Linked DNA regions of Canis lupus familiaris. The protein of the gene in region 1 binds, or shares a complex with, the protein of each later gene. Links are inferred from orthologs where the notes say so. Each region holds a gene or a part of one and is shown in the gene's direction. Other genes may lie near its edges. The genes, in order: SMAD1 and SMURF1.

Region 1 (3,905 bases):
CACCCCTGCTCCCAATCCCTCCTACCTTGCTTCTTCCTTCCCATGTACCACCCACCACCTAGAATATTTGTGTATTTATTCATTATTTATCTTCTTTGATGAGAGCAGGGATTTTTTATCTGTGTAGTTTGTAACTATATGCCTTGTAATTAGAACAGTGCCTCACACATTTGTTTGTTCGTTCATTCATTCATTCATTCAGCAGGTGTTTAATAAGCTCCTACTGGGTGCCAGATACTGTTCTAGGCTCTGAGAGAATAGCAATGAACCGAACAGACCAAAAGTCCTGTTCTTTCAGCTAAGTAGTTAGGTAGTGATAGGGAAAGAGGATTACAAAACATGTGTGTTTGGGAGGGGTAGGTAAAAGTTTAGATAGAGTGGCCAGGCTGGGTCTTATTGAGAGGGGAACAGTTGGATGAAGACCTGAGAGGGGTGAGGGAAGGCCCACAGCCATGTGGGAAGGGCTTTCCAGGTAGGAGACAGCTACTGTGGAGGCCCTGAGATGGGATTGGACTCAGGTTGCTCCAGGACTTGTGAGGAGGCCAGGTTGACTTGAGGAAGTAAGCAAGGGAGAGAGTAGGAGATCAGGTAGGAAGGAGTTGGGAGCACAGATCAGGGAGGGCTTTGTACACATGGTGAGAACTCTTACTTGAATGAAATGGGGAGCCACGGGAAGGTTTTCTGATACAATGATATCAATACACAAGCCATATTCAAGCTTTGACAATTGTCCAAATAATGTCCTTTTTTGAAAAAAGTATCCAATTTTTTATTGCCGCCATTTAAAGAAATAACTTGCACAAAGGGTAAAATCAAATTGCATAGCATATGCAGTGTGAATAATTGTCATTTGTGGCGATCAGAACTGTACTAAGCAAGGTCATGTGTAGGTTAAAATGTAATAATTTTATAATTTTTATAAAATAAAAAGTGAGTTTTATTGTCATTGCATAGCTTCTCCCACAATCCTGGGTCCAATTAAGGATCACACACTACATTTAGTTGCTGTATCTTTTTAAAACAGCTTTATTGAAACAAAATTCACATGCCATCTAATCTACCCATTTAAAGTGCACGATTCAATGGCTTTTAATATATCCACAGAGTTGTGTAACTACCATCACAGACTAATTTTATAACATTTTTTACACGCCCCCCCCCCCAAAGAAACACGATAACCTTTGGCTATCGCTCTTCCTCGATCTCCCTATCCTCCCAAACATAGGCAACCAACATTCTACTTCCTGTCTCTACAGATGGGCCAATTCTGGGTATTTCAATATGAATCAAATATGTGGGCTTTGTATCTGGCCTCTTTCATGTGATACAATATTTTCCAGGTTCATTCATGCAGCATGTGTCAGTATCTCATTCTTGTTAATGACTGAATAATGTTCCATTGTGTATACAGCACGTTCTATTTACCAGGGAAGGGTTTTGGGCAGAGGAGTGACCTGATCTGAGTGGCATTTCACAAGGCTCAGGCCAGCTGTTGTTTCAAGGAGCAGAGAATGATGAACTGTGTCAAATGCTGCTTTTAGGGAAAATAAGATGAGGCCCAAGACTTGACCAGTAAGTGCTCAAATAGCTTAACAAAGAGATGAACTGAAATATTCTGATCTATAATTTACAAAGTGTTGTATGTCTTATGGGGCTTGTTGCATTTCTTTTGAATAATTAAACATGGAATGCAGAAATAAATTAAGAAATATGAATTTAAAATAGACTGTGGACATGTAAAGGTGCATGAACAATTGGAGAGTACCATTAACTTCCTTCGGTCTTTGATATTTTCTTTATACTGGTGGTAATGGTTCTTTGAGTTCGTGAGAAATTTATTCCTCAGAGTAATCATTCCTCTCTAAACATAACTCAACATTATGGTAATTATCCAAGATTTCATGCCAGCTTCCAGAGAGCTAGCCAAGGGAAAAATTAATTCTTACAAAAGATATGTTCGAGGTCTATGCAGATCAGGTTAGATGAGAGCCAGTCTGTTTTTATTTTAGGGGGTTGGTGTCATATAAAAGATTATAGAAATCGGATCAAAAGTTGAGTTCCATCCCAAAAAAAAAAAAAAAAAAAAAAAAAGTTGAGTTCCACTGTGGCATCTGCCATTACTTAGAACCACTACGTTACCCACTCAAGTCATCACATACTGAACTGGCCCAAAACACAAAACAGCGATACGGGTGGGTGTAAGCAGATGCAGCAGCACTAGGCTATCCAGTTCTGGGTACGTGCAACTTGTGGGGCGTGCAAAAGTGAAGGGCAATGGAAACTGGACATGAAAAGGAGAGGTCTGAAAGAGAATGGTCAGAAACGCGCCCCGCGGGTGCGGTGGTAGCGTTCGGAGGGCGCGGTGGGCGGGTGATGAGTAGTTCAGAAAATAAAGACTAAACCTCGAACTTCACGTGAGGATAACGCACCAAGCCCGCTCCGCCGGGACTCCAGGAAGCAGGGGAAAGAAGGCTGGTTTCTTTCTCCTTGGAGTCAACGGGGCGTGGGGCCGGGGGCGGGCTGGGGGAGGCGGGAGCAGGGAGGTGGCCGGCCCCGCGGCCCCGCGCTCGCGCTCAGCGGCCGGGAATTTGGAGAGGATCCCTGGTCGCGCGGCGGCGGCGGCGGCGGCGGCGCGCGGGTGCGCGTGTGAGCAGGCGGGCGGGCGGGCGAGCGAGCGAGCGTGCGGGCGGGCGGGCGAGTGCGCCGGCTGTTGGCAGCCGCCGAGTGGAGGCTGGGCGGCTCCGACTCCCTGACGCCAGCGCGACCAGATCAATCCAGGCTCCGGGAGCGGGCGGGCGGGCGGAGGAAGCGGAGGCCGAGCGGCCGAGCCCGGGCCGAGGCGCGGGGAGGCACCCTGCGAGCGCAGCGCCCCGCCGGCCGGACCGGGGCCGCGGGACCCCGCTCGTCCGGCCCCTCGTGCGCCCGCGCGGACGGGCGCGCCGCCAACCCGGTAAAACGAAACAGACCCGCACCCAACTTTCTCCTTGGCCGCGTCCCCGCCCTCCTTCGGCGCCCGGCGCTTGCTTTCCAGCGCCGCCGCCGCCTCCCGTGGGGTGAGCGCGGGGCCGGTGACGCGGGCCGCGGCGGGCAGGGGGCTCTTCCCCGCGCGGGGCGGGCCGGGCCGGGCCCCCCCCATGATGGCGCCTCCCGGCCGCGCCGAGGAGCGGACCTGCCACCGCCTCCCGCTCCCGCTCCCGCTCCCGCTCCCGCTGTGGCGCCCGGCCGGCCAGGCGGGGCTCGGCGCCGTTCTCCTCGCGTCTTTGTTGGCTCAGCCGTGGGGAAGCCGCGCTCCTCCGCCCGAGCCTCTCCCCGGCGCCGGCCGCCGCGGGACCTCCCCTCCCGCCCTCTTTCCCCCTCCGCAGCCGGGCCGAGGCCCGTGCGCGCCGCCCGCCGCCCGCCGCCCCATTGTGTCCCGCCGGCCCGGGCGACCCTTGCGGGAGCTGGGGGACGGCCGCGGGGCGCTGCCCTCCGCGCGGTGGGCGCCCGGCCGAGCGGGGCCGGCTCCAGGGGCCCCCGGTGCCCCGCGCGCCTCCGCATCCCGCACGGGGGCCTTTCCCTGCCCCAGCGAGCCTCTTGGGGGTCGAGGTCAAGGAAAGTTCGCACCGAAATTCCCTCTAATTTATTCAAAGGCTTGGCGGCGGCGCGTATTTTTTTTTTTTTTTTTTCCCCTCTCTCTTCCGCCTACACCCCGTGCGCCTCCAAGTGTCGTCTCATTCCTTTCCCTTTACCGGATTCGATTGCCTCACTGCATGTGTATTTGTGAGTTCGCTGTTGAACAACTGTTCATTTACTCCGCTCGCCGCCTTTGTTAGTGTTCCTCGGGCTCGTTGCTGGAGGAAGGTGGGGGGAGTGGGTGTGAGCGAGACCGACGTGGGCTTGTTTTTCTAGTTGCTTTATACACATGA
Region 2 (3,905 bases), on another chromosome or scaffold:
GCTCCTTAAGATACAAACCAAATAAAGGCTTTCCAAGAATTAGGTAGTTGGTCAAAAACAACTTTGGTAAACAAGCCCAGCTTTTCTTCTTTAGTAACAGTTATTTCCTCTCCATTACAGGTTAACAAAGAGAGGAGTTTGTTTGCTGGAGAAAGCCTAATGAGCTCTTAGCTCTACCCTGCAACTCTGGGAGGAGGGAAAATGTTAGTTTTTAGTTCAACTCTGCAATCCTGGGAGGGATGTGTTAGCAGAAGGCGGGGAAACCAAGGCCGTAAAGCTGCCTTTGTTGGTTTGGATTGTATGCAGATTGGATCATAACAAACATCTACTCAACTTTATCCCTCTCTCCCATCTTGTTTACCTTGTCCATATATGGCACTTCCAGCGATTCTGGCAAGTGTAACGGGTCAACAGAGCGCACTACCTTGCACAGAACACACGTAGGGGACTTTTGTGTCTTTGAGAAGTCTCTCCATTGAAACTGCATTCTCTGAAAGCTCTACTCAAAAAAAAAAAAAAGAAAAAGTGGTACCTATTTGTGCAAGGTGCTTGGTGTGTCGTAACAGGCTACGGGTTCACGTAATCCTCCTTCCAATATCTATGTGGGGGGGGCGGGCGCCCCGGAGGCTGGAGAGACACCCGGAAAATCAATTCGGTCCGCATCTGCAAACCTGTTCCCTTGGACAATGTGGCGAAGACTGAGGGTGGCGGTTCGAGGGCCCACATGTGGCCCCGCACCCTAGCTTCGCCTTCCCCCGGCCTCCAGGGCGAGCTCCGCTCCCAGGCCCCGAGCTCCTTCGCCCGGCTCCCGGGGGGAGGACGTGGGCAGGCCCCGCCACTGGTTCCAGACCCCGCGCGCCCCTAGCCAGGCCTGCGACGTAGCCCCGCCCCGCCCCGGCGTGCTCTCGGGTGCGCGCACGCACGCAGGCGCGGGGGCGCACGGCGCGGGCACGCGCAGGGCCGGGCCGGCACGGCGGCGGGAGCGCGCGCGGCTCCGGGAGGCGGCGGCGGCGGCGGCGGAAGCGGCGAGGGCGGCGGGCGTCCGGCTCTGAGGAGGAGGAGGAGGAGGTGGTGGTGGCGGTGGCGGCGGCGGCGGAGGCAGCGGCGGCTCTGGACTGGGCTCGGCTGGGAGCGGGCGAGGGTCGGGGGCGCCGGGTCGAGCGCCGATCCCCCGGCTCGACCATCCTCCCGCCGCCCGGACGCCTGGGCCGCGGAGTTTGTGTCCCGGCTCGGACCCCGGCGCCCAGCCCGGAGCCGTAACCTTGAGGCGGCGGCGGCGGGGCCGGGCCGGGCCGGGCCGGGGGGCGGCGGCGCTGGATCCGCGGCTGCCCGATCGTTGGCGGGAGATGTCGAACCCCGGGACGCGCAGGAACGGCTCCAGCATTAAGATCCGTCTGACAGGTACGGCCGGCGGGAGGCCCACCCGCCTCCCCCCGCACACCCCACCGGCGCCCGCTGGCGCCCCGCACGGGCCCCCAGCAGCCCCGGAATTCCCCGCAGAGCGCCCCGGTGGAGTGGCCCTCCCCCACGCCGGCCGTTGTCCCAGGACCTCGTCACCCCCCTCGGCGAGTGCCCCTCGCTCCGCGCTCCCGGCCCCGCCCCCTCGCGGCTGCCGGCCCCGCCCCCTCGCTCCTCACCCCCCACCTTCCCCCCCCACCGCGGCCCTCCCGCTCCCCTCCTGCCCCCCCCACCTGCCCCGTCGCCTCCCTGCTCGCGGCCCCCACCCGGCCGCGGGCTCTCCCCTCTCGCCCCCCTCGTGGCCCCGCCCCCCGCCGCTCAGCCCCCTTCCTCCCCCTCGCTTTCCCCGCTCTCCCCTCACCTGCCTCCTCGCTCTCCCTCCCGGCCCCGCCCCTCGCTCTCGGCCCCGCCCCTCGCTTCTCCCCACCTCCCCATCCTCTCTGGCTCGGCGGCCTCTTCTCCGCGGTACCCGGCGCTTCGCCCCGCTACCCTCCCGGTTCTTACTCCCCCCGCCCCCACCTACCCCCCGTCCGGCTTCTCCCCTCCCGGCCCCGCCCCTTTATTCTCCTCGGCGGGGCTCGCTCCCTTTCCCCCTAGGCCCCGCCCCTGCTTATCTCGCAGCCCCGCCCCCTCGCTGGGTCTCGCCGCCTCCACCCTTTCCTTCAGCCTCGAATTCCTCAGTCCTGTGGTGTGGCGTGTCCCGGTCCTGTTCTCTTCACTTCCCCGCTGCTCCAGACCTCTTGAGTCTGGCCCACTTCCTCTGTGCCTCGGGCCAGGCCACTGTCGGCTGCCTGCCGTGCTGCCCCGGTACTTCCCCCATTGCACTTTCCCAGCACTGCCCCCCCATCCTAGAGCCCTGAGTGGGGCTGAGGGTCCCCCGCCCCCCACTGGAGGCTGTGGCAGCTGCACGAACGCCGGCTCCTCGATTCACTCTCACCGAGTCCTCAATGAAGTGCCCGCGTCTCCTCGGAGGCTCTGTAGTGCCACCTTCCAGGGTGAGCGCGAAGCTCGGCTGCGGCCGGCGACGCGGTGGTTCGGCCGCGGGTGGATGCGCCCCTCGCCGGCGGCCCCTTCCCCGGCCCTCGGGGCCACGGAGCTGCGGCCTCGCCTCCCCGTTCAGATTCACACCTTAGGCCGGATCGTAGGGCCGCAGACACGCGTCTGCCAGGGGACTTTCCGGACTCGAGTATTTCCAGCCCTGGAAGGGAAATACAAAGTTCAGGCTAGTTCCTGTCGGGGGGCTTTCCCTTGGATTTTTCTGTTGGATGGCCAGTCTGGTGAGGACCCCAGAGTCAGAGTTCGGTCGGATGCTTTCAGAGAGCAAATGAGAGTTTTGGACACTTTGTGGCAGATGCGTAGCCCTAATTTCGGTAAAATCCATGAAAATAACAATGGCGATCGTTTTCAAACGAAAGTTTCCTTTGAAAGTACGGAGCTGTTGCGTGACTCACATTTTTCTCAAGAAAAGTGTTGTAATTTTTTTTTTTTTTTTTTTTTTTTTTTGTAGAAAGATGTCAGATTAGGTTACAAGATAAGGCGGCCAGGTAATGATTTGGACCCAAATCCAGACCCTGGTTGTGTGAAGTAACAGCCATCTGTCCCAGGGATCTTTGCTTCTGGAGGAACATACTCTGTTCCAGGGCCAGGAGGAAATGCTTCTCACTATGTAGATACAGTATAAAGCATTGTTATTTTTATGGTTACATGAAAGACATGTTTTTGACTTTGTAATGCTTGTAAAACTTTAATTACTGACAACTTTAATTGGATTCTAATTTACAGTGTAATCTGTAATTGACATCAGATTGGTTTCATTTTTCTTGTTAAAAGCAGAAATAACTGATTTCATGAGTTTTGGTAGAAATGTGATTAATGTTTCAGAAGGAATAGGTTCTCATTACAATGTTTGTATCATATACACATTTATATATCAAACCAAGTTGGCAGGTCTGAGCCTTTCCCTTGAAAAAGGGAGGGCTTGGTTTGTCCTCCCAAATTATTTTTGGATTCAGAAATTTACATGCCAAAGATACAGAAATGCTTTGAAGAGTTTTGGATGGCATTTGATACTGAAGGATCAAGTGATGAGTGTTATTTCCAAAGCTCCCTTTCCCTTCATCCCTGTTGGTGTTAGTGATTGGGATGATGTGTGAGTGTGGTCATCCCTGCAACAGGATTTTTAGTGGTGATGGCAGATCCATGTCTGTTGTCTGTTGAATGTTAATTTATGTTGAGGTGCTGGAACCTCAGATGTTTTGGTGTAGAGTAGGTTTTGGCATCATCTTTAAGGTTGTCCAGGGCAGTTTGAAAATCTCTTCTTTTCTGGCATATTGGGTAGCCATCTTTCAAAAGTTGTATACTCTTGTTACAAGATTTAGAGTTTAATTCTATGCGTGATATTTGAAAAAATTTTTTTTTTAAAAAACAAGGGGCATTCTAACCAGTAA

Evidence for each region.
Region 2: the proteins of SMAD1 (region 1) and SMURF1 are in contact, whole or in part, in an NMR structure (PDB 2LB1), measured with the Homo sapiens proteins. The link is inferred for Canis lupus familiaris from reciprocal best matches to the Homo sapiens genes SMAD1 and SMURF1. Residues at the interface, in NP_001003688.1 of Homo sapiens: Asp221, Thr222, Pro223, Pro224, Pro225, Ala226, Tyr227, Leu228, Pro229, Pro230, Glu231, Asp232; in NP_065162.1 of Homo sapiens: Glu313, Val314, Arg315, Ser316, Arg321, Tyr323, Val325, Asp326, His327, Arg330, Thr331, Thr332, Gln333, Phe334.

What each region holds. Positions count from the first base shown.
Region 1 is NC_049236.1:44,385,080-44,388,984, forward strand, and holds the start of SMAD1 (mothers against decapentaplegic homolog 1), read left to right. Parts: upstream 1-1,466; 5' UTR 1,467-1,572; intron 1,573-3,809; exon of another isoform or gene 3,810-3,905. UniProt on the Homo sapiens protein: Transcriptional modulator that plays a role in various cellular processes, including embryonic development, cell differentiation, and tissue homeostasis.
Region 2 is NC_049227.1:10,465,784-10,469,688, forward strand, and holds the start of SMURF1 (E3 ubiquitin-protein ligase SMURF1), read left to right. Parts: upstream 1-1,109; 5' UTR 1,110-1,346; coding exon 1,347-1,401; intron 1,402-1,885; exon of another isoform or gene 1,886-1,962; intron 1,963-3,905. UniProt on the Homo sapiens protein: E3 ubiquitin-protein ligase that acts as a negative regulator of BMP signaling pathway. Mediates ubiquitination and degradation of SMAD1 and SMAD5, 2 receptor-regulated SMADs specific for the BMP pathway.